Sus scrofa: one gene and its partners. The protein of the gene in region 1 interacts with the protein of each later gene in a biochemical or structural test. Links are inferred from orthologs where the notes say so. Each region holds a gene or a part of one and is shown on either strand. Other genes may lie near its edges. The genes, in order: SNTA1, MAPK12, ABCC4, KCNA5, SCN4A, SLC16A7 and GUCY1A2.

Region 1 (3,500 bases):
TACCCAGCCCCCCCCCCTCCAAAAAAGCAAAGATTGGCTTGAGTCTGCAGCAGCCAACCTGTGCTCATCAGGGCAGGGCGGAGAGGCCTACCCAGGATCCAATGTCATTGAGCCACTGAACCAATCCTGAAATTGCCTTCCTCTAGACTTCTTGTTACATGAAATCATAAAAATCTTTGTTTTTCTTTTTCTTTTTTTTGGCTGCCCTCAAGCGTATGAGCTTGCTGGCTCACACGCTATGAATCAGATCCGAGCTGCTGTGACCTACAGCTGCAGCAATGCCGGATCCTTAACCCACTGTGCCAGGCCAGGGATCAAACCTGTGTTCCTGTGCTCCGGAGGCACTGCTGACTTGTGCCACAGTAGGAACTCCAAAAATCATAAATATCTTTATTGCTTATGGCACTGTTATCATATATTCCATTACTTGCAGCCAAGCTCAACTAATTGATAGAGCAAGAATGACCAAATGTTTGTTTTATTATCAATTGGCTTTAATTGATTAATAATGGCTGCCATAGAATACTGTGGTTGATTCATGATGTCTATCTTGAACAAGGGGTAAAGAAGTGGTAGCATAAGTGTCATATGTTTACCACCCCAGTCATATCTGAAGCCAGTTCAATACCTGGCACATAGTAGGTGCTCAAGAAAATTGACTTTTGTCTCTGAACCTCTACTCCCACCAAGCTCTTCTCAGATCAACCCTGTTATCATGTTGCTTTTCTCTTCTAGCTGCCGTTGTTAGTGAGATCTTCCTTTTCTAGAAAGGCGTGGAATCTAGCCTCCAGTCAAGGCTCTTGGTTGTAAATATCATAACTCCTGTTAGGATGGTATCCTGACTTTCTAAAGAAGAAGTGTGAGAAAGCAGAACTTTAGCAGATGTCTGGCAGAGTTTTCCCTCTGCCTCTCAACATGCATCTCCACTAAATTTCTCTTCTGACATATCAACTCTCTCCTCTTCTCTGTTCTTACAGCAGAAGGTGGTTGCCCCCAGAGTATTCAGGTTTTTTTCAAGACACCAATTAAGGATCCCTCAACAGTCTCAATCTGGGTAGCCTAAGGTGTTAGGTGTTGAACCCTGATCCAGCTAGCATAGCCAGGAGGGCAGGATCACATGTCTGATAATGACTTTATAGGTCAGTTGCGCAGAGGAAATGAATAAAATATTCGGCGCCTCATGTGTACTAGCTATTGAGCACCTTTTTTTTCATTCTTTCTTCCTTCCTCCCTTCCTTCCTTCTTCCCTCCCCCCTTTCTTCCTTCTTTCCTTCCTTCTTTTCTTTCTCTCTCTCTTGCTTGCTTGCTTGCTTGCTGCACACGCAGCATGTGGAGGTTCCCAGGGTAGGAGTTGAATTGGAGCTGCAGCTGCCAGCCTATGCCACAGCCATAGCAACATCAGATCCGAACCATGTCTGCAGCCTACACCACAGCTCGTGGCAACACCGGATCCTTAACCCACTGAATAAGGCCAGGGATCGAACCTGAGTCCTCATGGATACTAGTTGGGTTCATTACTGCTGAGCTACAATGGGAACTCTGATTGAGGAGATTTCAAGTGTTCAGTAACTACATGTGACTAGTGGCATGCATCCAGAATTTTTTTGGCATGCATCCATGCTGCCCTGTCAGAGATTTTGGCATCGAGGAGGATAGTGATAGTGGACATAAATTAAACTCTTAATGAATTAGTGATAATTGTGATGTGTGCTATATGGGAGCCCATGTCATAGTGGTAACTGCTGACCTGTCCCCTAACCAGTCAAGTACATGAAGGAGGTCTCACCATATTTCAAGAACTCTGCCAGTGGGACCTCAGTTGGCTGGGACTCGCCTCCTGCCTCACCCCTACAGCGGCAGCCTTCCTCCCCTGGCCCCCTACCCCGGGACCTGAGTGATGCCAAACACGTGTCCTTGAAGATGGCATATGTCTCAAGGAGGTGCACCCCTACTGACCTGGAGACCAGGTAAGCCTCCCATAGGGGCAACTCAGAGAGACATGACCTCATGTTAGTTTGGTGGGGCCAAAGGAAAATTTCCCCTGTGTTGCAAATGACAAGCACCATGCCAGAATGTAGTAGGTGCTTAAGAAATGTTTGTTGAGTGGCTGTAAGAGTGAAGTTACGGGGATGATGGTGGGCTTTGCTTATCTCTTCTTCCTCTGCGAAGTTCATGTTTGAGAAGAAACTTGGTTTGTGGAGGAGCCCTGGATTCCAGTCTTGGTTCTCCTTGAATCAGTCTCCTTTCCTACTGTACTGACCTTTAGATGAGTCCTCTTTGTGAAATGAGAATACTGGAGGGAGTTCCCATTGTGGCTCAGCAGGTTACGAACTCAACTGGTATTCATGAGGATTTGGGTTTGATCCCTGGCCTCACATCAGTGGGTTAGGGATCTGGCATTGCTGGGAGCTGTGGTGTGGGTTGCAGACATGGCTCAGATCCCTTGTTTCCGTGGCTGTGGTGTAGGCTGGCATTGATAGCTCCAATTCAACCCCTAGCCTGGGAACTTCTATATCCACAAGTGTAGCCCTAAAAAGAGAAAAAAAAAATATTGGTCTCAGTGATCCCCTCAAGTCTCGAGGTTCTGAGATGCAACATTCACTTCAGGGCCAAGGCAGGTTACCATCTTTCACATCTGAACAGCCCTGATGATAAGATTCACTGCTGATAAGATTGATAATCAATATTACGAGTATTTATCATGCACAATTTAACTCATAGCAAGCCTATGAGCAAAGTCCTTTTATTTTATCCCCATTTTATAGATGAGGACAGAGAGAGGAAGTAACCTGCCCAAGATCACACAACCAGGAAGGGATGGAACTTGTCTCATTCCAGGTAGCCCTCTCTACCTCAGAAGCTTCAGGTGCCTGAGTGATGGTGGTGGTTGAATGGAGTTCAGTTGATCAAAAGGGGTGTGCACTATTGGGTGTGCAGTCCATATATATGGTGTGGGCATAAATGGCTTGTGCTGTAGGTTCTAGTTACAGCTGAGGTTCAGTTGGGCAAATGCTCAGTATTGGCCTAGAGGGCTAATTAATGTTCAGCATCCAAATCTCCTGGCCCTATTTGATGCCTTAGCTGCAGCCTGCCTCCATGAGGCAAGATCTGGTGATTCACAGGTCGCTTATAAGTGTTTCACCGAAGGGGCCTTTTTTAAAAATGACTGCACCTGTGGCATATGGCAGTTCCCGGGCTGGGGATTGAATCTGAGCCTCGGCTGCAACCTATACCACAGCTCCCAGCTCCTTAACCCACTGCTAACCCACTGCCTGGGCCAGGGATTGAACCTGCACCTCTGCAGTGACCTAAGGTGCTGCAGTCGAATCTTTTTTTTTGCCATTTCTTGGGCCGTTCCTGTGGCATATGGAGGTTCCCAGGCTAGGGGTCGAATCAGAGCTGTAGCCACCGGCCGATGCCAGAGCCACAGCAACGCAGGATCCGAGCCACGTCTGCAACCTAAACCACAGCTCACAGCAACGCCGGATCCTTAACCCACT
Region 2 (4,074 bases), on another chromosome or scaffold:
GGGCCAGGGAGATGGCGGGCTGCTTCAGCCCACAGGCACACCCCCAGGGGGAATCAGGCAGGGTATCCGCAGGACAGGGACAGCCTATGTCTCTGCCTAGGCCTTGGGGTGCAGACCACTGGGGAGGTGGGCCTCCAGAGGCCTGGGTGGTGCGGGTACTGGGCTTCTGGTCCTGGAAAACCCCTGGAGACCAGGCTGGGTCCAGTCCTGGGCGGGGGGCCGGGGGCGAACAGGAGCAGAACTGGGACATGCCTCACCGGGGAGTCTGGTCTGACGCAGAAACCTCTGGACTGCTGGGGGCTTCCTGGAGGAGGCAGGCAGAGTGCCACAGGCAGCCCAGGGCATGAAGCACCTGGGGAGAGGCGGTGGTGGCTCCAGTGACCCCAGGCTGCTCCCACTGACCAGCCGGCCACTCCAGAGCGCCCAGATGCCCTCGGCAGCCCAGGTGTAAAGCTGCTCTGGCCAGGCCTGAGCTGCTCAGCTGCTGATTCATGGTGCAGGGCACAGAGGGCGGGGCAGGGGGCCCTGGGGATCTTCTTACCCCACTCTCTCTCCCGCCTGGGTCACTGGGCTAGGGCAGGACAAGGAAAGGACTGGGGGCTCTGTCCTCCAGGAGCAGCGGGTCAAGGAGGGGCCAAACCCATGAAATGATGAAGCCCCCACCTGGGGCGGGGCACTGAGAGGCCCCTTCACCCCTGGGGTCAGGCACACCTTCCTGGAGAGAGAGAGGAGGCTCCCGCTGGCCTTTGAACAAACCAGAGGGCCTAGGCTGGGCAGGGGCAGGACAGGCAGAGGGACTTGCAACTGTGTGACTTGGGAGATGGAACCGACTTTTTCCTAGGGAAAGGGGGAAGGGGGAAGGCAGGTGCTGGGGACGGCGGAGCTGGGGCCGACCAGGCGGCGCGCTGGGGGGTGGACAGTGATCGGGGATGGGCTGGGCTGGAGGTTGCCCAGCTCCGGCGGGCCGCCCGCCGTGGGCCAGCGCCCCGGGGCGGTGCTTGCAGGCGGGAGACGCGGCCCCTGTTAAGATGCCTCCTCTCTGGAGGTCTGCGGGCTTCATCGCAAGGGCAGGGGCGGGCGCCGGGGGCTGGGCCGAGCCGGGGCGGCGGGCGCCGCTCCCCGTCCCCTCCGTCCCCTCCCCCGGCTCCGGCTCCGGCCTCCGGCGGGGCGGGCGGGCGGGCGGGCGGCCGCCTCAGGTTTCCGGAGGGGCCGGAGGGCGGGCGCGGCGTCACGTGCGCGCGGCCCCGGGGCCGGTTGGTGCGCCGGCCGGGGAGGGGCCGCGCTGTGCCCGGGCCGGGGTCGGCGGCTCCGGAGAGCTCGGAGGCAAGAGCCGGGAGCGGGGGAGCCCCGGCGGCGACGGGCGGCGCGGCGCGGCGCCGGCTCTGCCCCGCGCCGCGGCCAGGGGCGCGCGCCAGGGTGCCCCGCGGAACCCGGGCCCCGGGTCCTCGGGGCGCGGGGTCTGCGGCGGGGCGGTGCCCGGCCAGCCATGAGCGCCCCGGCGGCCGCCCGCAAGGGCTTTTACCGCCAGGAGGTGACCAAGACGGCCTGGGAGGTGCGCGTCGTGTACCAGGACCTGCAGCCCGTGGGCTCGGGCGCCTACGGCGCCGTGTGGTGAGCGCAGGCCGGGCGGGGGCCGGGCGGCGAGGCCGGCCCTCCCGCTAAGCGGTGCGTCCCGCAGCTCGGCGGTGGACACCCGCACCGGGGCCAAGGTGGCCATCAAGAAGCTGTACCGGCCCTTCCAGTCCGAGCTGTTCGCCAAGCGCGCCTACCGCGAGCTGCGCCTGCTCAAGCACATGCGCCACGACAACGTGAGTCGCGCGGTCGCCTCGGCTCCCCGCCCCCCCCCCCCGCCCCCGCGCCCGCGCCCGCCTGGCCCGCAGCCCCTCGGCGGCGGCGAGGCCCTGGAGAGGACTCCGGTCTGGTCTTTGGCTCCTTCCCGAGGCCACATCCGGCTCGTCCGCCCGGCCCAGGCCCCGGTCAGGGGACGACGTCCTCTTGCCCGGGGGCTCACTCCAGGTCCCGCCTCCAAGCAGGATCCCCGAGGCGAGAGGCGACCTCAGGTGGGGGGCGAGTCTCTGGAAGGGGCACCGTGTCTCTTCTGGGCACCCCTTCCTGAACCCGCTGTGCTCCCTCTACCTCCTGAGCCCCAGCCCTGGGAGCCCCGAGGGGGCCTGTGTGGGCCTTGGGGAGCTGGTGTGCGAAGGACACGGGGCACACGCCTTCCTCACGTCCAGCGGCGTGCATTTCACAGCCCTTGGGGTAGGGGCTGGACCCAGCCTCCGGCAGGGAAAAGTCTGTTGCGTCCGGAACTGCCTCAAGCCTCTCCTGGGAACGCTGCTGGCTGCTAAGAGCCCTTCCCTCTGCTGGGGGTGCTCCTGCTGTTTGCCTGTGGCCTTGAGCTCTGTCCCCTCCCACACAAGCCACCCCTGCCCAGTCTGAGGGCTGGTGATCTGGGCGCCCAGACCCCGACTGATCGTGGTGGTCTGGCACCTCCTGGCTCATCAGAACCACGAGAATGAGCCTCCGTGTCCACCAGGAAACTCACCCCTTGGCTCCTGACCAACGCCCACCTCTCAGCCCCTCGCAGAGAGGGTCCTTCTTTCTCTCAGACTCCTCTACCCTTGACCCTTCCCGGGTGGCACCCATTCACCAGCCCAGCCGGGCCTTTACTGCCTCTGGGTCACATCTGGTCACACTCAGGCTTGTCCTCTCCCAGAGTCCTCACCCGGCTTCTCCCCACCACCTGCTGCTCCAGTGCCGTCTCCAGGCCTTCTGTCCAGTTACCTCCCGCCCCGATCTGTACCAGTGGGTCCTTCTCCCAGGGGAGCCCCTGACCCACAGCGCGGAGCGCTGCAACCTGCAGGGCTGTTCCAAGAGCTTCCTAAACCCAGTTCCTAGGAGGAGCTAGGCTCGGTGAGGCCGAGTGGCACACCCGCGTGAGCTCCTCCGTCCTCCCCCCCCCCCCGCCCCGCCCCGCCCCGCCCCAGGCCCCGTCTGCACCGCAGAGGCCTAGAGATCTCCATCAACCTGATGGATACCACCTGCCCCCCCCCGCCATTCCTGCCAAAGCCTCCTCCCAGGGCCCTCGGCTCACCTGCCTCCAGGCCCCTCTGGATGTGCCACTCTGTCCCCTCCACCCCGCCCACATCTCTGGCTCTGGTGTCCGCTTTGGTCATCTAGCTGTCCCTCCACCCCCATCCACCTTCACCTCACTCTGGTTTGTCCCCATATAGCAGCCAGGGGACACATTCAGCATCTCACCGTCCTCAGTGGCTCTTAGGATCAAAGCAAACCTTCCCTGGTGTTCGAGGGCCTGCTCGGGTTCCCTTCGGCTTCTCCTTGGCTACTCCTTGGCCTGGTCCTTGGCCACCTGGCCTCTCTCCCGTGTTCCTCAAACGCACCAAGCAATTTCCCTCCTGCCCCGGCCATCATTTGCCTGGCCTCTGCCAGGTGTCCCCCTGCCAGCACATCCACCTGCTCCTCCAGCCACTCTGATTCTCAGCCTCCCAGGGTCCCTGGAGGCCTTGTCACTGGAACCCCAGGTAGCAGTTGTCACATTACCTGTCTGCTGTCCATCACCCCTGGTCAGAGGGCTGTCGATGTGGCCACAGTGTTGCCTGCCTGGGCCTCTGGCAGAGGCGCAGCCTCTCGAAGGAACTCTCCCCTGAGAGGCTGTCCCCACAGTGGTCCTGGGTCTTCAGTGGGGACAGCAAGAGGGGGAGGAAGGGCCATGGGGCTGGCGCTCCTTGGATGGCCTGGGAGCTGACCCAGACTTGGGGCCGCCCCTCCCCTGGAGGATCCTGGCTGTCACCATCCCAAAATAGCCTTTGTCCATGGGCGTGTGTGCCAGGGCTGGGTTGAGCTGCTGGTGGGCAAGAGCCAGGCCCTGAATGGTGGGGGGAGACCAGGCCAGTTGCAGGAGGCTTTCCTGCCCAGAGCAGGCTGTGTCTGAGCCCCCGTGTCCCCGGCCAACCTGGTGCTCTGGCCTCCTCCCCAGGTGATTGGACTGCTGGACGTGTTCACGCCTGATGAGACCCTGGATGATTTTACAGACTTGTGAGTGCCGCCTGGGGC
Region 3 (4,141 bases), on another chromosome or scaffold:
ATGAAAGATTGCATAAATTACCATTAAATACCCGGTTTTAAACATAAATAAACACTAACCATAAAAAATTAAGGATTCAAGATTCAAAACTATTTAGTTTTATAGAAACGATGTGTGAGCAGAAGAGTGCATAAAGATTTCTAGGGAAAAGACTGAAAAACAACCAAAATAGCATCAAATGTACTTGGCTAACAGAAATAAATCCTTGGGGAGTTCCTGTTGCAGCTCAGTGGTAGCGAAACCGACTAGTATCCATGAGGACCTGGGCTTGATCCCTGGCCTTGCTCAGTGGGTTAAGGATCTAGCATGGCCAGGAGCTGTGGTGTAGGTCGCAGATGCGGCTCGGATCTGGGGTTGCTGTGGCTGTGGTGTATGTAGGTCGCTGACACAGCTTGGATCCCATGTTGCTGTGGCTGCGGTGTAGGCTGGCAGCTGCAGCTGCAAGTCAGCCCCCTAGTCTGGGAACCTCCATAGGCTGAGAATGCGGCCCTTAAAAAAAAAATTGCTCCTGCTGCTGCAGTAGGAAAACTGGACACAGGTGCCTAACAAAATCAGACAAGTCCTCACCTATCCCATTTACAGACACATACATTTTGAAAATCCACAAACAGAAGATGCTCTGAGAATTCCTTGCCCTGCCAGAAGTTACAGTAACCACACCCATAAGCCTAGGCTCTACTTTACTCAAGGGCCACCAAATGGCCAAGAGATGTAGCTACACACACTGAATACACCTCCAGCAAAACAAGCTTCCAACCCTTGGGGACCCTCTGCTAGGCCGGCCCATTAAAAAGGAAATTATCAGAGTATGGATTAGGGGCCAGAAACAAAAGATCTCATAATGACCCAAGTGTGATTAAAGGCCAAAGGTTCAGGCCCACCTAGTTAAGTAGTCCTAGCTACTAGATAAAAACTTTTAGTTAAAGCTTCACCAGAGTTCAGTAGCGGCTCAGCGATTAACATCCAAGAGGTTGCTGGTTCAATCCCTGGCCTTGCTCAGTGGGTTACGGATCTGGCATTGCGGTGAGCTGTGGTGTAGGTCGAAGAAACAGCTCAGATCCCGAATTGCTGTGGCTCTGGCATAGGCCTGAGGCTACAGCTTCTACTGGACCCCTAGCCTGGGAACCTCCATGTGCCGCAGGTGCGACCCTAAAAAAAAGGAAAAGAACTTCACCTCTGTAAGCTGTTTTTCATCAGGGTTTGCTCCCAGCTCAGGACGCTTCAGTGGATTTAGGACCAAATGATTCCTGGGCCGGACCATCAGCACTGTCAGACCATGCACTGCTTCTCTGAAGGCTAGAGACCTGGATAAGACCCCACAGGCCTCAGGGACCCCATCCCCAGAGTGGTCCTCAAAAGGGGAAGTAGAAATATTTGCAATAGGAAAGAGGCTAGCCAAGTTCATTCTCCAGTGCTGGCTGTGCCTCCGGGGCCAAAGCAAAACGTGCCCAAGAGCAGTGTGCCCCAGTAATTAAAAAATAGTGTAGTTTTTTCACCCACATGTAATTTGCCACAACTAGGTACCAAGATAGTGAGAGACGCACACGGAGAGGGAGGGAGCGAGACACAGTCACAAAAACACAGACAGAGGGAGCTCAGTGCAGTTTGGTACGCAGCTGTCATCTAAGAATACAGAAAAAGGTGGGGACATTGGAAGACGGCAACTGGTCCAGGGCACTAAATAGATAAAGGAAGCTGTTCATAAGATGCTTGCTTAGGGGGGAAAGGGTGCAGCTTTAGCTCAGAACTTCGAACTCCTTAGCAATACTGGGGAAGCCGGCTACACAGAGTAGGGAGTGGAGAGGGGGCGCAGCGCGTTCTCCTGCTGGGTGTAGATTCCCACTGGGCAGCCCAGGTTCTCCGCCTCTCCCCCTCCTGCTCCAGCTGCTCCCCCTGCTCCTCCTCCTACGGGCTGGCGAAACAGCGAGAGGAAAGGCAGGGACACCCGGCGGCCCCGCCACCAGGGCCTCCTCCCCCGCCCTGCTCCTCCGCCCCCGCGCGCCCAGGCTCAGGTGGGGACCACGCGACCCGCGTGGGGCCGCCCCATTGTCGGCGGGAAGCCGGGCGGCCTGGGCACCGGCGGGAAGCTCTTGCTCGCCCCAACCCTCTGTTCCCGAAAGGCGCCGGCGCGGCGGCGGCGGTGTCACAGCTCAGGCGGGGCGCTCACCAGAACAACACGCGCGAGCAGACGTTCGCGTCCCGAAGCGGGTTGGGCTTCACCTCCGGGTACACCGGCAGCATCCTGACGGCCAAGACGGGTGCGGGCCGGGGTCGCACAGCTCCCGCGGCGGTGCCGCTCACGCTGCTCCCGGAAGGGTTGGCGGAGATGCTGGACCTCTGGCTGGCCCGGGGGTCCGCCTGCAGGAGCCCAAGAATCACTCGCTTCCGGGAGTGGAACGCCTGCGGCCCGCCTCCCAGGCCGCGCCGCCTCCCGGGTCCGCCTCGGGGCCGCCAGCTACGCGCCGCTGCAGGATCTGCCGGGAGCCGGGTGCAGCGGACGCGTGCGAGCGGCGAGACAAAGGGGTGACTCGGCTGCCGCCGTCCGCAGCTTGGTGAAGGGGCGAGGCGAGGCCGAAGGTGCCGTTGGATGGAAGCGGGTAGACCTACCACGCGACACAGTCTGTCTCCGAGCCGAGACACCCACGTGCTCGCACCTGGCTGCAAGCTCAGCCTCAGTTCTTGCTCCCAGCCCAGGCACCCACCCAGAAGAGGTGGAGAGGGAGAGGCGTGGTATTTGCCCGCCCCTGCAGTTCAGAAACGCCCCCTCGGCTGCAGCTTTCCGAAGACCCAGAGAAGGCCGGCTGTAGGCATTAGCAGTCCGCCCTCTGGGCACCCTGCCCTCCTCACGACCAAACTAGGGTGCTATGGGAGGTTCTCCATCCTGCGGCTAAACATTTGACCTGGGACAACGGCTGGATTTAGCACAGATGTGTTTGTAACGCTGCAAGACCTAAAGATATGTAACAGAGAATTAGAAGAACTCAAAAAATTTTGGAAGACGAATGCACGCTTCCAAAGGGCTTTTGAGATCTCACATTACTGCATGGTGCGGGGGGGACCTCTGTAAGCTTTTTGCTGCCCTTTTAGATTGGGAAAGGGGAATATGGCGAGAGACTGCCTTATGATTTCTTTCATCATGTGCTCAAAACCTAGTGGAGTAACAGTGGTACATTTTATAAAACACCGGTTATAGGCACTTCTGGGGACCTGACTGCACTTTTCACTCTAACGATGCCCTAATAAAGAAGGTATTACTATCCCTGTTTTACAGATGAGAAAGATAAGGCTCAAGGACAGAACTTGTCCAAGGCTTGAAAATCAATAAACAGGAGTTCCTGCTGTGGCACAAGGGTATGGGAGATGTCTCTGTGGCATGTGGACACAGGGTTCATCCCTCCCCTGGCACAGTGGGTTAATGGATCTGGCCACCCAGCTGCAGCTCAGATCTGACCCCTGGCCCAGGAACTCCATATGCTTCGGGCTGGCCAAATAAAAATAACATAAAATAAAATAAAATCAGTAAATAATGAATTCTGATTTGGACCAAGTGAAAGTCCAGCATGGTCTCAACCGGTAGGTGGACAGTGTGCATGAAAAGTGCCTAGAATATGCTGTTTGGATGAATGAATGACTGCAGGTCTGAATGAACCAAATCTTGGGTATCTTCTCTTCCCTTCCACTCTAAATGAAGAAAGCTCAAAGTTCTTTGTGTTTACAATGATAACATCTTTTTTATTCTTTTTGAGTATTTCAATGTACCTTGACTAAAATACTGTTATTACTTTTTTTGCTGTACCCGGTAGCATGTAGAAATTTCCAGTTGGGGACCGAACCTGCACCGTAACAGTGACCTGATCCACAGCACTGACGTTGTCAGGATCCTTAACCCACAGAGACATGTGGAAACTCTTAAAATAGTGTTATTAATAATGGCTTTTTTCATCGAGAACTATGTCTAGATACTTATGTTGCAACAGAAGAAAGGGTGGGGGAAAAACTGTAATTGCAATGTATACATGTAAGGATAACCTGACCCCCTTGCTGTACAGTGGGAAAATAAAAAAAATAAAAAATAAAAAAATAAAAAAATTTTTTCACCACTGGAAAAATAATAAAATAATAATAATAATGGCTTTTTTTT
Region 4 (4,236 bases), on another chromosome or scaffold:
AAGACAGAGACTTGCTGGTAATGTAAAACCAAAAACACGTCTGGAAGCTGTGCCAGGATGGGCCAGACTTGCCTTGAAGCATATTTCTCTCTGGACGGATGCTCCTCGCTAAAACCCAGCAGGGCTAGGGCGAGCCGGATAGCCTGGCTCTCTAACCCAGAAGCACTCAGCTGTCCTCTTAGCCACCCTCCTGCCTCCCGCAGGAGGAACGAAAACTGTCAGCCCAGATGTTGGGGAGCAGGAACTCTTTTACCCTTATATCTGAAAGGGGGTGACTCATTTCTAGAGAGGAGCACAGGGACAGGAACAGGGTCCTGAACTCTGCTTGCTTGGGTTTAAATCCCAGCTTTTACCGTGTTCTAACTGTGTGACTTTAGGCAAGTTAGTCCATCTCTCTGTGTCTCATTTTCCTTGTCTCTAAAAAGTGGAGATAATAACATTGCTGAGAAAATGGGTTGCCAAGGGAATAGGCCAGTCAATATTTGTAAAGTGCTGAAAATGGACCTGACACAACAAAAGAGCCAAGTATGTATGGATTGTTATTCTACTGCTGAGAATTCTCCAGCCCCGGGCACTCCACAAGCTCCGGGGCTCCCTCTCCTGAAGAGCCCCCACCCCAACTCCCTACACAGATGTGCTTTTGGTTCCGGCTCCCAGCTTCACCAGGCAGAAACCACTCTCACCAGCTTCTCTCTCTCCCTCCTCCCCTTCCCTGCTCATGGTTTCTGCTAATGGCTTTGTGGGGAGAGCAGCGAGGTTGTGAGCGTCAGGGCAGCGAATCTCCCAGACCCAGCTGGCTGCCTAGGGCTGCTGGGTGGCATCTGCCCTCTGACCACCGCTGTCTGCACTGGGAATGGGGGCTTTACTAAGCGGCAGGACACACTAAATTTTCCCTCAGTTACCTTTTGGTACCAATGTATGCAGGGAGATGGGAAAAGAGATGCTTCACCTTCAATCTGGAGATACAGACATATATATATACATTTTTTTTTCCCAAGGTCCATAACTATCCTGCCCCCTCCTGTTTGTAATTCTGCCCAAAGAAGAGAGACCCTTTATTCCTCCAAGGGAGAAACGTAAAAAGCACTGCCTTCTCTCATACTCCCTCTCATCTCAAAATCATCCCTCCAAGGGCAATTCATTTCCCCCTGAGCCCATCGGCGCTCAGCGGGCTTCCCAGGTGAACTGAAATCCAGAGCTATTCTCATCTGGTTGCCCTTGGAGTTTCAGCGCTCTCGGTACAACCTGTTCCTCCATCCTCCCCACTCCCTCTCTCCCTCCCTTCCTTCCTCCCACCGCCGGCGGAGCCCCGCTCAGCCCCTCCCTCCTCGCTCGGGCCCCAGCTGCGCCCTCCGGGGAGACTCCCGCTGCCTCTGAGCCCGGAGGGGAGGCGGGGGAAGGAGAGGACGACAGGGGGCGGGGAGCCGCGCGGGGCGGAGGCCGCGCCGGGCGGCTGGAGGTTGCATCTGCTGGAAGGCGGCTTTTGGCTGCTTGGTAACGGGCTGCCAGAACCCAGAGAGGCAGAGGGCAGGGCAGCGGCTTCTTGACGTCAGGACCGAGCGAGGGGACCCGGCCAGCCACTCCAGCCCGCCCCACAGCCGTGCCGGCGGCCAGCAGAAGAGGCGTCAGGCGCGGGTCGCCCAGCAGGGTGTGAGGGGGGCGCGGGAGTCAGTCCGCAGGGGCGCAGCATGCCCCCCGCTCCCGGACCATGGAGATCGCCCTGGTGCCCCTGGAGAATGGCGGTGCCATGATCGTCAAGGAAGGAGGGGAGGCCGGCACCGCAGGGGGAGAGCTCCGCTGCCCCCCGACGGCTGCGCTCGGAGATGGACCCAAGGAGCGGGAGCCAAGGGGCCGCGGAGCAGAGAGGCGCGCGGATCCGGGAGGCCGGCCGGTGCCGCCGCCGCCCCAGGAGCTGCCGCAGTCGAGGTGGCTGCCTCCGGAGGAAGAGGAGGGAGATGGCGACCCCGCCCTGGGCGTGGCGGAGGACCAGGTGCTGGGCGCGGGCTCCCTCCATCACCAGCGCGTCCTCATCAATATCTCGGGGCTGCGCTTTGAGACGCAGCTAGGCACCCTGGCGCAATTCCCCAACACGCTCCTGGGGGACCCCGCCAAGCGCCTGCGCTACTTCGACCCCCTGAGGAACGAGTACTTCTTCGACCGCAACCGGCCCAGCTTCGATGGCATCCTCTACTACTACCAGTCCGGGGGCCGGCTGCGGAGGCCGGTCAACGTCTCCCTGGACGTGTTCGCGGATGAGATCCGCTTCTACCAGCTGGGGGACGAGGCCATGGAGCGCTTCCGGGAGGACGAGGGCTTCATCAAGGAGGAGGAGAAGCCCCTGCCCCGCAACGAGTTCCAGCGCCAGGTGTGGCTGATCTTCGAGTACCCGGAGAGCTCGGGCTCCGCGAGGGCCATCGCCATCGTCTCAGTCCTTGTCATCCTCATCTCCATCATCACCTTCTGCTTGGAGACCCTGCCTGAGTTCAGGGATGAACGCGAGCTGCTGCGCCATCCCCCGGTGCACCACCAGCCCCCTGGACCCGCCCCAGGGGCCAATGGCAGCGGGGCAGCGGCGGCGCCGCCTCCCTCAGGTCCCACAGTGGCGCCTCTCCTGCCCAGGACCCTGGCGGACCCCTTCTTCATCGTGGAGACCACGTGTGTCGTCTGGTTCACCTTCGAGCTTCTGGTGCGCTTCTTCGCCTGTCCCAGCAAGGCTGAGTTTTCCCGGAACATCATGAACATCATCGACGTGGTGGCCATCTTCCCCTACTTCATCACCCTGGGCACCGAGCTGGTGGAACAGCAGCCAGGGGGTGGGGGAGGGGGCGGCCAGAACGGGCAGCAGGCCATGTCGCTGGCCATCCTCCGAGTGATCCGCCTGGTCCGCGTGTTCCGCATCTTCAAGCTCTCCCGCCACTCCAAGGGGCTGCAGATCCTGGGCAAGACCCTGCAGGCCTCCATGCGGGAGCTGGGCCTGCTCATCTTCTTCCTCTTCATCGGCGTCATCCTCTTCTCCAGCGCCGTCTACTTCGCCGAGGCCGACAACCAAGAGACCCACTTCTCCAGCATCCCGGATGGCTTCTGGTGGGCCGTGGTTACCATGACCACGGTGGGCTATGGGGACATGAGGCCCGTCACCGTGGGGGGCAAGATCGTGGGCTCTCTGTGTGCCATCGCTGGGGTCCTCACCATCGCCCTGCCTGTACCCGTCATTGTCTCCAACTTCAACTACTTCTACCACAGGGAGACGGACCACGAGGAGCAGGCAGCCCTTAAGGAAGAGCAGGGCAGCCAGAGCCAGGGGACAGGACTGGCCAGCGGTGGCCAGCGGAAGGCCAGCTGGAGCAAGGGGTCCCTCTGCAAGGCTGTGGGGGCCCTGGATAATGCAGATGGATCCCGGAGGGGCAGTTGCCCCTTAGAGAAGTGTAACCTCAAGGCCAAGAGCAATGTGGACTTGCGGAGATCTCTGTATGCCCTCTGCCTGGATAGCAGCCGGGAAACAGATTTGTAAGGGGGATGCAGGTGGATAGTTGGCAGAGAGCTGGGGACAGCGGGGGGCCTCCTGACCTTGGGGATCTACTTCATGGCGAAGAGTATTTCTAGCCCACCCTGTAACCTAGGTCCGCCCCTTCTTCTTTCACTGCTCCCCTCCTGCGTCTCCTTGATCCCCTAGTTTTTCTTTCCTCTTCTTTCCATGACACCCAGGGTCACCTATTTTTAAAAAGTACCACATTCCATGACGCAGGAGCTGTTGAAATGGTGAGCACTGTGAGATGGATGTATTTGTAGCCAGTTTCCTAGACCCAGCAGAGGGATAACCCAAACAAAAATGGCTTTAAATAGCCCAATCCCCAGAGAATTGGTAATCTCCCCCCATCCCTGTGTTCCAAATTTGCTTTACATATAATTATATTTGTGTACATGAGAAAATATTATTTTTATGGCTGGCGAGTGGATTTTTGTACTGTAGTTCAGATGGAGAGATTTTGGATATATTTTCAAGACATACATTGTATTTATGAAAGAGGAGGTTATGGCAACATTCTCCTGTGATATTTCTATTACAGTCCGAGACCCTGGTCTGGCTGTTCTGGTTCCTGTTATCTGCAAGCCTCTCTCTTTTCTGAGTTGTGATTTCGGTGCTTTGTGTCTAGGGCAGAGAATGCTCTGGAAGAAAGCAAGTCTAACTTTTTCTGTGCGCCTTAACCAGTTCTTGTAACTTTCTTCAAAAAGCAT
Region 5 (4,170 bases), on another chromosome or scaffold:
GGTCTCAGATGCAGCTCAGATCTGGTGTTGCTCTGGCTGTGGCATAGGCTGGCAGCTGCAGCTCCGATTAGACCCCTGGCCTGGGAACTTCCATATGCTGCAGGTGTGGCCCTAAAAAGAAAAAGAAAAAAAAGAATCCCACAGAGAAAACACCAAAGCTCACACCTTGGTCTAGAGAAGACACCCCGGAGGGTGTGAGTGACTCATTGGGAGATGTGGGAAGTCCAGGTACAGCAGGAACTTCTCAGACCACAGCCAGCCCCCAAGAAGCGGCTCCACAGTGCTGAAGCTGGATCCACAGAGAGCTGCTGGCAGGAGAGGTGCCATCAGGCTGCACCCGCCCCTGGGACTAAGGATGATCACTCCTTAGGCCCTTCTCAAAGCCCACCTGACCTGGGCTCAGCTCACCTGGAGCTCTGGCTGCTAGAAAAGATGGTGGCAGTGACGGATATGGGAGACTCGGGGGAGCTTTGGGGGACCATTTCTCTGGATTCACCCAGGGATTATCTTGTCTGCCTGGGCAGGTGCTGGTCAGCAAACTGAGATGGGTCATTTCTCAACACCTCCACTAGGGGTCACCACAGCCCGGGAGTGGAAGATGGGGGAGGGGGAGCTAAACCAGCCTCATCTCTCCCCGCACTGCCTCCCCTCCCTAACCTCTGGGGAAGAGACTCTAGCCAGTGGGGTCCCCGTGAGGGGCATGGTGGTGGAGAAATGCCCCCTCAAGACTGCTGTGTGTTCCACCTAAACAGCTGTGTGTGTAAGAGGGAGACGTGTGTGTGGTATACAGATGGGCACATACTTGATAAAAATCTAGTGACCGTAGAAACATAGACGGCCCTGCGCACATGTAAACGGGAGCATGTTACATGGGGCAGACAGCTGCATGGATGTAACGTGAGCGACATGCACGAATGCGGGGACACGACTGTGGGTGGTGTGTACACGGAGGACACTTGATACAGTTTAGCCTCTGGGACACCCGAATATGTGCTCGTCTGCGAAGGAGAGTGTGCATGGCTCTATGTGTGTAATAATACACACATGTGCGCCAGCCCGATGGGAGCGTGGGAGCGTGTCTGTATGTGTGAGCCGTAGACGTGTGAGAATGGGTATGAAGCACAGTGGAAGCGTTTGTGTGACTGTAGGAAGGGTGGTTTATATGTATGGCTGAGCATGTGTGAGTGTGTGTGTGGGGGTGCACAGACGTGAGAGTGTACAGAGCGTGCAAATGTGAGCCAGCGCGGCCCCGGAAGGGCTTCTGGGAATGAGCGTGAAAGGAGATTCATGTGTGAGAATGAGCCTGCGTTGGTTCATCCAGGGAGGGAGAGAACCACGTGTGTGGGCTCAGACGCGGGCCCCAGTGCGTGTGCGTGTGCGTGGGCGAGCGTGGCGGGCGTGTCACGCTCCGGGTCAGCGGCCCCCAGCCCCGTGGGTCCCAGGCCAGCCCAGCACAGCCCTGGGGCGGGAAGGGAGGCGAGGCTCCCACCTGAAGATTGGCCCAGTCCTCAGGTTTCACTCATGACCCTGTGACATCAGCGGCAGCAGCTGTCCCCGCCGGCCCGGCCCCCCGGCCAAGTCCCCCAGAGTTCCAGCCCCAGCCCGAGGTGGGCACGACGCTCCGGGCTCAGCAGCAAGCACTCCGCTCCCGTCCAACTGTAAGTACCGTGCCCCTCGGCACCCTGCCCCCGGGCCGGGCACCCCGAGGGCAGGCCACCCGAGGGGCCAGGAGCCCTGGCCCCAAGCCCAGCCTGGCTCCGACGAAGTCACGCTTCGCTCCGGGCACCGCTGTCCTCCTGCCCACACCGGCCCTGCTCTGCGGTGGCCCCTGCCCAACTCCTTGTGCCGTGACCCTCGGTCCCCAGGCTCGCTTCTCTCTGCCCTGTCACCTGCTCCCTGTGCCCCTGCCTGGCTGGCCGTCACTGCCCTTAGCAAGGGCCCTCGCCCTGGTCACAAATGGCCCAGGGGCTGAGGCTTGGTTCCGGACAGCCACAGGGTGACCCAAGGGACAGAGACCAGGCCGAGTTTCTTCAGGAGAGGAGGGTGGAGGGGCCAAAACAGTGACTCGGCTCAGCCTGTTTGCAGTGGCCCAGAAGGCAGGGGTGTGGGGGGAGGAGAGCGGGAGGCCGGGCAGGGGGTGGCGGGCGGCTCCTTTGCTCTCTGCTGAAAGGAATCTGCGAGATGCCAGCAGAGGACACATCTCAGGCTGCGTGGCGGCTGGCTCTGCCCACCGCCCCTGCCTCGGCCCAGTTGGGCTCCTTTCCTGGGAGAAATCAAGGAGGGGGACCAGAGGAGAGCCCCGTATAGCGGAACGGGGTGTGGGGACAGAGCGCCAGACAGTCCACCGTGAGGGGAACAGGGGGTCACAGCCCTGAGGGGACTCTGGGGGACTCAGGACGAGACTCAGGGGCAGGAGGCGGGGCCAGGGGTGCGGTGCCAAAGCACAGCGTAGCCCCCCTCCCCCTCCCTGCTGGCAGCGCTGGGCACCCAGGACACGGGGAGGGAGGGAGGGCGGGCCGTGGCTGGTGAAATGGTCTGAGCAGAGATGGGAGAAGGTGTTTTGGAGGTGCATGGGGCTAAAGGGAGGGGTGCTTTGAGGGCAGGGGTGTTTGTGTGCACGTGCGCACACACGCGTGTGTTGGAGGCATTTGTTCCAAAAACTGGGGAGTCCCATCTAGAGGGCCCTGGGGGTGGGGGGTGCTTGAGGCTTTCTAAGAATGCATAGTGGCGGGGGTGATTAAGTACAGGGTCCGGCTGCCCCTTCCCCCTGGTCAGGGCAGGGGCCCAGGTCATGATGGAGGCTCGTGGCACCCCACTGTCTAGAGGTGGTCCTCCAGTTGGAGACCAGACATGTCCCCCTCCCACCCACACCAGCCCCCTCAGGCGCCTGCCCAGACATCAGTCACCCCAGAGCTCGGGGAGCTTAGAGCCCAAAGGAGCCTTGAAGGCCATTCAATTCAGCCCCTAAGGAAGAGCCAGCTTGGGGAGGGGAGCAAGAGGCCCGTGTGGGGCGTCTGGCTAGTCTGGAGAGGGGAACGGGCTGCCAGAGAAGTGGAACAGAGCCACAGACGAGCGTTGTTGTCATTCATCTGTGACCAGGGCTGTGACTGCTCCCCTCCTCCCAGGCCCCGAGCTAAGGAGACCCCAGGCGTGGCAGTGGCTGGACACAGGCATGCAGTGCTGGGGTTGCAGGCAGAGAGGGCTGCTTCTTCCAGGACCCTGCAGATTCCTCTGGGGTCATCCCCAGTGCCCTGCTGGCGGCCTCACTCTGTGTGGCAGTCGTGTGGATGGCTGTGGCCCTTGTTCTAGTAGTTGGAGCCAAGTCACCTGGGCAGTTGGAGGCAGGGGCCCAGACGGAACCCAAGGACCCACCCCCATTCCAGCGCAGCACAGGCGTCTCTCAGGGGATTGGCTGGGAGTTTAGGAGGGTTGGGAGAGGTGCCTAAGGGTCCTTCCCGGGTGGTCCCATCCCCGCCTGGCCCTGCTTGTCATTTCTGGTTAGGGACCTGCATAGGGTGGGGGCTCAGGGTCCCCTCTAGCTCTAGGCTGGCCTGAGTGTCAAGGTCTGCCTGGCCGGCTTCCCAGGCCAGGATTTCTGGGCCCCGACCCCAGGCCCCAGCCCAGGGGAAGCCCTGAGGTGGATTCCGGAGGCACAGAATTCCTGGCTGATGTTGGGGTGGTTCTGACAAAGTGCCTGCCTTTGGGGGCAACTCCTGCCACCAGAAGAGAGAAGAGTGTAGATAATGGCAAGGAGAAGAGGGTGGGGTTCAGAGCAGGCTGGGGCGGGGGGCAGGGGCAGGCAGAGCCAGAGAGGAGAGAAGAGATGGGCCCTCCCAGAGAGGCGCGGGGAGGCTCCCTCCAGAAGGGAAACGAAAAATCTGAGCCAGGAGGCTTCAGAGAGCAGGTACAGAGGGGAGGGGACAGAGGAGAGTGGCACAGTGCAGGCTACACAAACTTTCTGTGACTCCTCTTACAGGGAAGGCTCAGGTTCAGAGGGTCCTGTCACTTCCCCAGGGCACACAGCTCGTGAGTGGCCGGGGCTCTGTCCACAGCGGCGAAGGCCCCCGCTCCTTGGGGAGGAACTGACCCTGGTGCAGGGCTGGGTCATGGGGCAGAGCTCACCCCTGAGACCCAGGGGGCAGCGGGGGCCCGTGGGCAGGCCTAGGGGTC
Region 6 (4,221 bases), on another chromosome or scaffold:
TTTTGTAGCTGGGTTTTCCATACACTTTCTTCCTCACAATAGTACTTCAGGAGAGGTACCATGAGTCCTATTTTATGAATAAACAAAACTGAGGACAGACTCTTAAATAATTATTTAACCTTACAAAAGTGCAGAACTGAGCTTGAAATCTAGGTCCATCTCTAAATTTAATTACGTTTTTTCCATGTGAATGTCTCAAAAACTGGCGAATGAACGTAGGATGAAAAGCAAATGCAGACTTCTTTTACTTTAGATCCATGATCCAAGAACATAACTCTGGCTAAAGGGTATTTTGGTAGGTCTTTCCTCCTTCTTTCCCTTCAAGAGGGCTCAAGGCCAGTTATAAAGAGTAAATGCATGTTTAGAAATGAACTGAGCATTTACAGGAAGATGCAGGCACTAACTGGGGCATTGGGAAACAAGTGTTAAAATTTCAGATCACTTACATTATTAAAACAATCCCTGGGGTGAAAACCAGTACGTAACGGCTAACTATTGATGGGAATTTTGCAAAAACTAGTTTCTGACTTTATGAGTTGTTACACAACACACTGAGTTGCTTAAGGTAATCTTTCCCTTTCACTGAAATCATTCAGTCCCCTGCTGATTTAGACTGCTTTAAATGCAATGCACTCAGAAGCATAAAGTGGAGCTACATTGCCCCACCAGGGCCAAATAAGAGCCAGCTTGTTCAGCCCTCATCTATTCTCTGCAGCCACCACCCAACTCAAATTTTTCAGCCACACTCCCCCAAATACACTTAGTTCTTGTGGTTCCAATGACACTGCACATTCAAGTCAACGTGTCTGCTGAAAGTTTGTGGCCCTCCTGAGTTCCCAGTTTGGATTTAGCCATAAGGCATGGGGTTCCAGGAAAGGGCATCTAGTGCCCACTGTTTGCTTTTGCCCAGACTTTTTCACATCACCCTCATCTCTGCCCAGAGGTTTTATTCCTCTGCTGCCTCCCTTATTAGACCAGAGAAAAGAGAAAGATAAAATATTAGCTTTCCGGAGTTTGCGTCGTGGTGCAGTGGTTGACGAATCTGACTAGGAACCATGAGGTTGCGGGTTCGATCCCTGCCCTTTGCTCAGTGGGTTAAGGATCCGGTGTTGCCCTGAGCTGTGGTGTAGCTTGCAGACGCGGCTCGGATCCCGCGTTGCTGTGGCTCTGGCGTAGGCCGGTGGCTACAGCTCTTATTCGACCCCTAGCCTGGGAATCTCCATATGCCAAGAGAGCGGCCCAAGAAAATGGCAAAAAGCCAAAAAAAAAAAAAAAAAAAAAAATTGGCTTTCCTACTACCACCAGCCTGCCTTCATGCAAACCAGCCCATTCAGTACTGCTCCAGGAAGGAAAGGCACAGGTATTTGTAGAGAAATCACTCGTGTGCGTGTGCGTGTGTGTGTGTGTGTGTGTGCGCGCGCGGATGTTAATTTCCCTGACAAAATCCACAAAATTCCCTCCCTAGCCCCACCAGTAAAGTAGCTTTGGGCATGACTGCCCTTGCGAAAGCAGTCTGCAATCCTTTTCACGGAAGTAAAGGAGAAAATGGGGGGGAGAAAGCAGCTACCAAACAGAATCCGCCGAAAGAGGAGGCAGTTCCCACGTGAACAGTGAGCCTCCCGCGCTACCTGGCCAGGCCTGGCACCCCCAACGTGGCGCAGCGGCCCGGGCAGGAAACCCAGCATGAGCCCAGGAGACACAAGCCCTCCTCTGCCCGGGTCAAGTTCCTTTTCTATCCCCGGGGCGGGCCTCGTCTGCACACACATTTCCACCTGCCTCGCTCCCGCCACGCTACCTGGGGACAGAAATAGAAAAAAATCGACCCCCTTGGTAATTCATCCCCTCCTCTCAGCCTCTCCAAGCCCCGAAAATCTGCTAAAAAAGACGTTCCCTACACACACTCTCACCACCCCCAGATCCCCAACTTCTGCCGCACGAGGCCACCCTGGGGTGCTCGTGGGCCGGAGACTGGATGCTGACGAGAAGAGCACCCGGGAATACGCCAGGCGGGAACCTGCCCGGGAGACCCGTGTGCCAAAGACAGAGAGGGAGGAGCGCTGCGCTGCCTGAGCCTCGGAGCAAAAGCCCCGCAGCTTGGGCACCTCCCGCCCGGAAGCACGCGGGCACACCCCGCACTCCCCGCACTCCCCGCCCGAGTCCCTCGGGCCCCCCTCCCCGACGCGCGCGCGCGCTCCAAGCCCGCGCCCCACCGCGCCCCGGCAACTGCCCCGCTGCTGTCGGCGCGCCGGGGTGACGCGAACTCTCCTCCTGGGGCCGCTTCGGGAATTTTTGTCTATATAAGGGCTCGCGGGCAAGCTCGGCTTTGGTGCGCGTGTCACAAGCTAGCCATTACTTTTACACACGCGCGTGGTTCCCCGGGTAGCTCTGGTAACAGATGCGCGTTCCCCTTCCTCTCTGCCGGCGCCCCCTCCTCTCCTCCTTTCCTCCCGGGGTGTAACTTACTTTACCTGGTCTCCAGCACAGGCTGGGCGCTGCAGAGATCCGTTTCCCGCCAGCCACAGCAGATTCGCCTTGCGGTCACCGGGTGAATGGAATTATTTATTTATTTAGGTCCCTGGACGAGTCCTCCCTCGCCGCAGCCCGAGGAGGTGGAGGAGGAGGCGGGGAGAGGAGGCGGGGGAGGTGCGACTGAGTGCCCTTGTGGGTGCCCGGGGCCATGCGCTGCGCGCTGGGGGGAAGCGGAGATGGGGGCACCGAGGAGGGCGGGGTGAGCACCCGGGGCGTTGCGGGAGCCCCGGGTCCTCGGGTGGGGGCCAGCCGCCGCCGGGCGACTCCAGACGGACTGAGCATGCTCCAAATGACTGTCAACGCCGTAGACACTTAACTCTGTGGCTCCAGGCGCTCCACTTCAGATTTTAGTTTTGACCCAGAGGGTAAACAAGTCTGGTAAAGAGAACTGTAGGTCCAAATCGGTCGGCGCACGCTTCATTCGCCCCCAAGTGCTTTGGCGCCTAACCTAAGAGCCTAATCTAAGAGCCAGGTGTGTGGTAGCTCTGTTCAGATACCCCGGGGAGTGGTGCAACCTGTAGGTGAGGCAGGCAGTGCGAAACGAGAAGAACTTGGCCGAAAGCAGGGAGAGAAGTCTCCTTGTGAGCTTGGAGACAAGTTGTTGGACCGTTTTTTCAGTTGAAATCTTTTGGCGGGCGCGAGGGGAGAGGGGATGGCAGTGTTGGAGATTAGACTCGCCAGCCAGGTATCACTCTGAGGGGGAAAATACGGTTTACCCCGTGCGTGAAGGAGTAGCACTCAGAAGACCTTGCACGTAGGAAAGAAATGAAAGTCATTTGTAAATGATTCAAATTATTTAATTCTTCAAAATAGGATTTAGTTATTCGACAATACGTGGTGCTAGTGATAATGGTAATTCCAGTCTTGGTTTGGTTTCTTCTACCTTTATTTTTACTCCGTGTCTCCAACATATTTCCGGGAAAGTTAGAAAGAGGAAGGGCTGGAAATGAACATTTACATCGGGTTCCTTTAATATTTTTAAGGTTGAAGTAAAGTACTACTTAGAAACAAACAACCCAGAAGAATAAACGTGGGCTTGGTTTTGAGCATTCCTAGTCCAGTTTTTCTGTCAATTTAACTGCCTCTCCCCAATTCCTGCTCCAAAAAAGTGAAAAAGATAAAATGTTACATTAATCTAAGATAAAAATATAACTTCCTAGACGTTTTCCTTGTTTATTCTAGAAATTAGATCATTTCTAAAAAGCCAAGATAATTTAGTTAAAATAACTGGAATTTGGAAGCCTGAAGGACAAAGAATCAAAAAAACAAGATGGTAGTTATAATAAAATAATTATTTATTAAATAGTTATCATTGTCGGTCACTGTTCTTTTTATATGGATTATCTCAATGAATACAATCACTCTATTACATTATTCACATTTTACAAATTTGGAAACAATTTAAGTCATTTGGCTAAATTCACATTGCCTTACTTCTGCCAAAGCTAGTCTGTAGGCTTGGACAAAACTTGAATTTTAGTTTCTGCAGTTACAAAATAGAAATAAAATCAACTTTTTATTACTGATAGAAGATTTAGGTGAGATGATATATGTGAAGTTGATAATATGATATGAATAAAATGATGGCCAATATTAGTAACTTCAAAAAGTTTGGAAAACAGTATTGCAGAGAGACAGGTAGTTTGGAAACTAAGGAACTAAGGCAAAACTTCCAGATAGGACTTTAGACTT
Region 7 (4,122 bases), on another chromosome or scaffold:
GGGGAAGGGAAACGTGAGGAGTATGCTAGTCAGCTTTGCTGCAGGGCGAAGTATAGCCAGGGACCCTACTTTTGGGACACTCATATTTGCCCCTTCTCAATGTCAGAACAACACTTTCATGGGGCTAAAGCAAGTGCAATGGGGACGGGCACTAACAGCGGCTGTTGCTTTGCCAAGAGGCAAGCTTTGGAATGAAGCAGCTCTATCGAAAACTTGCGAGGCTGTTCTTGGGCTTTGAAAAGCCTTTTCCCCACGCGCCCCAGACCCCCACCACGCCCTTAGCTTTCCAAGCACATTTGTAGCCAAGTGCAAACAGATACCATATTTGGCTCAAATATCTGGGAGAATGAAAGGCCTGAGATCACTCCTGGGTCCTAGGTAGTTGAGTCTGCAGAGGAACTGTCCCCAGGTCTGCAAGTCTGCAAAGGCTGCTGCAGGTGGCAAGCGGAGCTGTCCAGCATCAGTGCAGAGCCGGCAGGAGCCAGGAGCCCACGCGCCCAGCCTTGCTGATGCTCAGCAACAGGGCTCTCGCCCGAGCAGACGCTGTCCTTATTCATTGCCTCCCGGCTCTGGGCTTGCTGCGAGCCCACGCAGCCTCGACCGAGGCGGAGAACACTAGTCCTCACCAGCTGCTACAGCAGGAAGGGTGCCAACATGTTGCCCCTTCCCTTCCTTTGTAAGCGAGTTCTCTGGAATGGACAGGCTGGGCCGCTTGGCCTTCCTCCTTCTCCTCAGAACTTCCTAAATAAACTCGGAGGGAAAGGACAATTACGGACCACACCCCCCCACTTCATGCTTTCAGACTTTCCCGATGTGGCTTCAGAGGAAGATCTTCCTTTCCGCCTCCCTCCCCCCTCTCTGCTCCCTTCCAGTGCCCACCGGTGCCCTACTGTTCCCCAGCAGCTGCTCCCGCAGACCATGGATAGGGCATTTGGAGTTGGGGCCCTTTGGTCAGATCCAAACCCCCTCGGAGGAGGAGGGGACGGTAGGAGTGGGGATGGCGCTCAGAGGACGACGACGAGGTGTCCTTGTTGCTCCTGAAACGTGGCGACAGGCAAGGCGGAGACTCCCAATGAGTATGATGGCGACACGTGATGCCGGCAGAGAGAGAGAGAGAGAGAGAGAGAGAGAGAGAGAGAGAGAGAGAGCGAGAGAGCGAGAGGGACGGAGAGAGAGAGACGGAGAGGGAGACGGAAAGGGAGGTGGGGAGAGAGCGAGCGAGAGCGTGAGCGAGAGAGCCTGGGGGGAAGGGGGGGTTAAAGGGAGTAGGAAGGAGGCGGGCGGCAAGGGGAGAGAGGCGGGAGGAGAGGGGCGGGAGCAGCGTAAGAAAGGGGGCGAGATAGGCGCGCAGGCGGCAGAAGCCTTTGCCTCCGCGACCGCGCGGGCCGCAGCCTCCGCGCCCCGCCGCCCGCGGTCACATACTCGGAGGCTTCCCGCGGGCGGGAGAGAGTCCACAGCGATGCGCCCAGGCCGGCGGTGAGGCGGCGGCGCGGGAGCAGCAGCAGCAGCAGCGGCGGTGACCGCGGCCGAACCCAGACCCCAAGGTGCCGCGGCGCCCCAAGTTCCCGCCATGAACAGTCGGCTCTGGATGCTCCACGGCTCTGGGAACTCCCGCCCGGCGGAGCACGACCACAACGCCTCGCGGCCCCGACACTCCTAACGCCGCCCCTCGCGGGTCCCGCGGCCGCCGCCTCCCGCGTCCCCGCCGCCTCCTTTTCGGCCGGCGCAGCGCCACCAGCAGCATGTCTCGAAGGAAGATTTCGTCCGAGTCCTTCAGCTCCCTGGGCTCTGACTACCTGGAGACCAGCCCGGAAGAGGAGGGGGAGTGCCCCTTGTCTAGGCTCTGCTGGAACGGCAGCCGCAGCCCGCCAGGGCCTCTGGAGCCCAGCGCGGCGGCTGCCGCCGCCCCGGCCCCGGCATCCTCCACCATTGCCGCTGCCGCTGCCGCTGCCACCGCCGCCAGCTCCACGGCAGGGGCTAGGAGAACGCAGCGCCGGAGGCGGGTCAACCTGGACTCGCTGGGTGAGAGCATCAGCCGCCTGACGGCGCCCTCGGTGAGCAGGGAGTGGAAGGAGGGCCGCCCTTCGGAAGAGAGGACTGGGGTAGGGAAAGTTGGCGCCAGGCAAGCCCGGCAGTGTGCGCAGAGCCCCACCGCTGGAGGGCGGCCCGGGCTCTCACCGCCAGGCCTAGGGTCCCCAAGGACCCCTGGGGAAACTGGACCTTGGGATCTGATGGAAGGGGCGGTGGAGCACGGGAAAGGAGTAAAGCTTCACTCTTTCGGGGTCTCCTGATTCGGGGGTCTGTCTGCCCACTTCCAGCCTTGTACCCTCCTTCCTCGCGGTCACCCTGATGGCCCTAGTGCTTCTTTACACCCACCTGTTTTCTTTTCCCCAAACTTTCCCAGGCACTGTGTCCCGCAGTTCCCATTTCCATGTCTTTCATCTCTGTTCTCCAGTATCCCAAAGGAACCCCTACTCCTTTCCAGGAAACTCTTCCTCTCTTTTTTCCCACACTCTCTTGGTCTTAACGTGACCTTCTCTGACATCTTTGAATTCTGCAGGCTAACTACATTCTATGTTGCATTCCTTTTCTTAAATCTTCGGGAACTGGTTGTCAGATTTTTTTTCTTTTTTTTATTAGTTGCCTTCTGATGAAGAAACCTTTAATGTCCTGTTTTCTTACCACCTCATATCCTTTTTTTTTCTTCTTCTTTTTTTTTTTTTTTTTTTTTTTTTTGGTCACTGGGCATTTATTGGCTCAAACTTCTTCTCTGGGTAAACCTGGTGTCTGGTTTCCTAAACCTCTCTGGTATTTCTTGCACCTCTACCTCATCCTTCACTCTCTTCCCTCTGGATTCTTTAGTGCTTTCAACCTCTTTTTTTCTTTTTTATGGTTTTCTTATATTAGGCCTTTCATAAATATCTGTTGAATGAATAAATGCCTTCCTAGCCCTCTCTCCACGTGTGCTCATTTGGGGATACCTTTATGAGCAGTTCCAGGTGTACTCCAGACTCCCCCAGGTTCTAGCCATCTTTCCATAGCACTTCTGCCTTATTCCAGCTCCAGCATTTCGGCTACCCTTGATCTCTACTCTTAGCACGAATGTCAGACCTTTCTCTGACTGTATGAGGTGTGTTTTGAAGGAATCCACTCCATTGTGACCGGATCCTAAGGGAATTCAGTATCAAACCACTGTCTACCATTTGTTCTCATCTTGATTGGCTACAAGAACTTCAACTCCTGACAGCACTTTTCTACCCATCTCTGAGACATTCACTTCTTTAAAGTTTCTAAAATGAATCTGCACATTGAGCTTGTTTGCCTTTTTGAGTCTCCCCTTTGAAAGTACTCTTGCGATTGATGGTAGGAACGACCTGAGAAAGAATGAGATCCATAGGGACAGGGAACTGGTTCTAGGCAGTCTTGTGGCCATTGCGTAAATGGAGTGTGATCTTTTCTTTTAGCAGTGAAACTGCTCTTTGGTCATCTTCCTTTTTTTGTGCATTTTCCCTTCAATTTACCTTTTGCCATTTCTTCTATCGATAACCTAGGAAACAAAACTCAAAATGGGCTGGCTACTGTTTGCTATTCTTAATGCAGCTATTTCCCAGGAAGCATAATCTTAGGAACTATTTGAAGTTGCAAATTGTTGAACATAATCCTTTATGAAAGGAGTCCAGTAATCCTTGTGCATCTGTGGTTTTGTGTCAGTACCTAAAGCAACATTTGTACAATATACTAATTCTTAAGTATAACAGATTCATATCCAATATGATGATTTTACTAAAGATAATTATTAGATTTGGGGGAATTGTTTCTATAATTCTTAATTTTCTTTTTGCCTAAAAATCATAATTTACAAATTTCTAAAAAGTTATGGCAGTGCCTCTGGTAATGCCAGTTTAACATGTCTATTCTCAGCAACTTATGTGAAAGGTAGATAAAATGAACTGAACTCAAGTATTTACTGCCAAAATAAGAGGAAGGAAATAAGTTCTGATTTTTAACTTTTATTAATGACTCTGGTTCTTTGATGGATAAAAAGCATTTAACTAGACAATAGTGTTCAGGATGAGAAATTTGAAAATAATTGTGATGATAAAAGTATACATCAGCTACATG

The links.
Region 2: of the proteins of SNTA1 (region 1) and MAPK12, one has a biochemical effect on the other in vitro, tested with the Homo sapiens proteins (2 studies listed by BioGRID and IntAct, with this or other methods). The link is inferred for Sus scrofa from reciprocal best matches to the Homo sapiens genes SNTA1 and MAPK12.
Region 3: the proteins of SNTA1 (region 1) and ABCC4 form a complex in vitro, tested with the Homo sapiens proteins (2 studies listed by BioGRID and IntAct, with this or other methods). The link is inferred for Sus scrofa from reciprocal best matches to the Homo sapiens genes SNTA1 and ABCC4.
Region 4: the proteins of SNTA1 (region 1) and KCNA5 interact in a test that uses a peptide from one of them, tested with the Homo sapiens proteins (2 studies listed by BioGRID and IntAct). The link is inferred for Sus scrofa from reciprocal best matches to the Homo sapiens genes SNTA1 and KCNA5.
Region 5: the proteins of SNTA1 (region 1) and SCN4A interact in a test that uses a peptide from one of them, tested with the Homo sapiens proteins (2 studies listed by BioGRID and IntAct). The link is inferred for Sus scrofa from reciprocal best matches to the Homo sapiens genes SNTA1 and SCN4A.
Region 6: the proteins of SNTA1 (region 1) and SLC16A7 interact in a test that uses a peptide from one of them, tested with the Homo sapiens proteins (3 studies listed by BioGRID and IntAct, with this or other methods). The link is inferred for Sus scrofa from reciprocal best matches to the Homo sapiens genes SNTA1 and SLC16A7.
Region 7: the proteins of SNTA1 (region 1) and GUCY1A2 interact in a test that uses a peptide from one of them, tested with the Homo sapiens proteins (3 studies listed by BioGRID and IntAct, with this or other methods). The link is inferred for Sus scrofa from reciprocal best matches to the Homo sapiens genes SNTA1 and GUCY1A2.

The regions. Positions count from the first base shown.
Region 1 is NC_010459.5:36,925,733-36,929,232, reverse strand, and holds part of SNTA1 (alpha-1-syntrophin), read left to right. Parts: intron 1-1,762; coding exon 1,763-1,967; intron 1,968-3,500. UniProt on the Homo sapiens protein: Adapter protein that binds to and probably organizes the subcellular localization of a variety of membrane proteins. May link various receptors to the actin cytoskeleton and the extracellular matrix via the dystrophin glycoprotein complex.
Region 2 is NC_010447.5:428,361-432,434, forward strand, and holds the start of MAPK12 (mitogen-activated protein kinase 12), read left to right. Parts: upstream 1-1,274; 5' UTR 1,275-1,486; coding exon 1,487-1,611; intron 1,612-1,678; coding exon 1,679-1,808; intron 1,809-3,997; coding exon 3,998-4,056; intron 4,057-4,074. UniProt on the Homo sapiens protein: Serine/threonine kinase which acts as an essential component of the MAP kinase signal transduction pathway.
Region 3 is NC_010453.5:64,307,032-64,311,172, forward strand, and holds the start of ABCC4 (multidrug resistance-associated protein 4), read right to left. Parts: upstream 2,801-4,141; 5' UTR 2,242-2,800; coding exon 2,168-2,241; intron 1-2,167. UniProt on the Homo sapiens protein: ATP-dependent transporter of the ATP-binding cassette (ABC) family that actively extrudes physiological compounds and xenobiotics from cells.
Region 4 is NC_010447.5:65,439,408-65,443,643, reverse strand, and holds the start of KCNA5 (potassium voltage-gated channel subfamily A member 5), read left to right. Parts: upstream 1-1,436; 5' UTR 1,437-1,708; coding exon 1,709-3,511; 3' UTR 3,512-4,236. UniProt on the Homo sapiens protein: Voltage-gated potassium channel that mediates transmembrane potassium transport in excitable membranes. Forms tetrameric potassium-selective channels through which potassium ions pass in accordance with their electrochemical gradient.
Region 5 is NC_010454.4:14,999,986-15,004,155, forward strand, and holds the start of SCN4A (sodium channel protein type 4 subunit alpha), read left to right. Parts: upstream 1-1,370; 5' UTR 1,371-1,658; intron 1,659-2,414; exon of another isoform or gene 2,415-4,170. UniProt on the Homo sapiens protein: Pore-forming subunit of Nav1.4, a voltage-gated sodium (Nav) channel that directly mediates the depolarizing phase of action potentials in excitable membranes.
Region 6 is NC_010447.5:24,711,588-24,715,808, reverse strand, and holds the start of SLC16A7 (monocarboxylate transporter 2), read right to left. Parts: upstream 2,801-4,221; 5' UTR 2,469-2,800; exon of another isoform or gene 2,464-2,468; intron 1-2,463. UniProt on the Homo sapiens protein: Proton-coupled monocarboxylate symporter. Catalyzes the rapid transport across the plasma membrane of monocarboxylates such as L-lactate, pyruvate and ketone bodies, acetoacetate, beta-hydroxybutyrate and acetate.
Region 7 is NC_010451.4:62,100,259-62,104,380, forward strand, and holds the start of GUCY1A2 (guanylate cyclase soluble subunit alpha-2), read left to right. Parts: upstream 1-1,322; 5' UTR 1,323-1,742; coding exon 1,743-2,054; intron 2,055-4,122. UniProt on the Homo sapiens protein: Has guanylyl cyclase on binding to the beta-1 subunit. Isoform 2 acts as a negative regulator of guanylyl cyclase activity as it forms non-functional heterodimers with the beta subunits.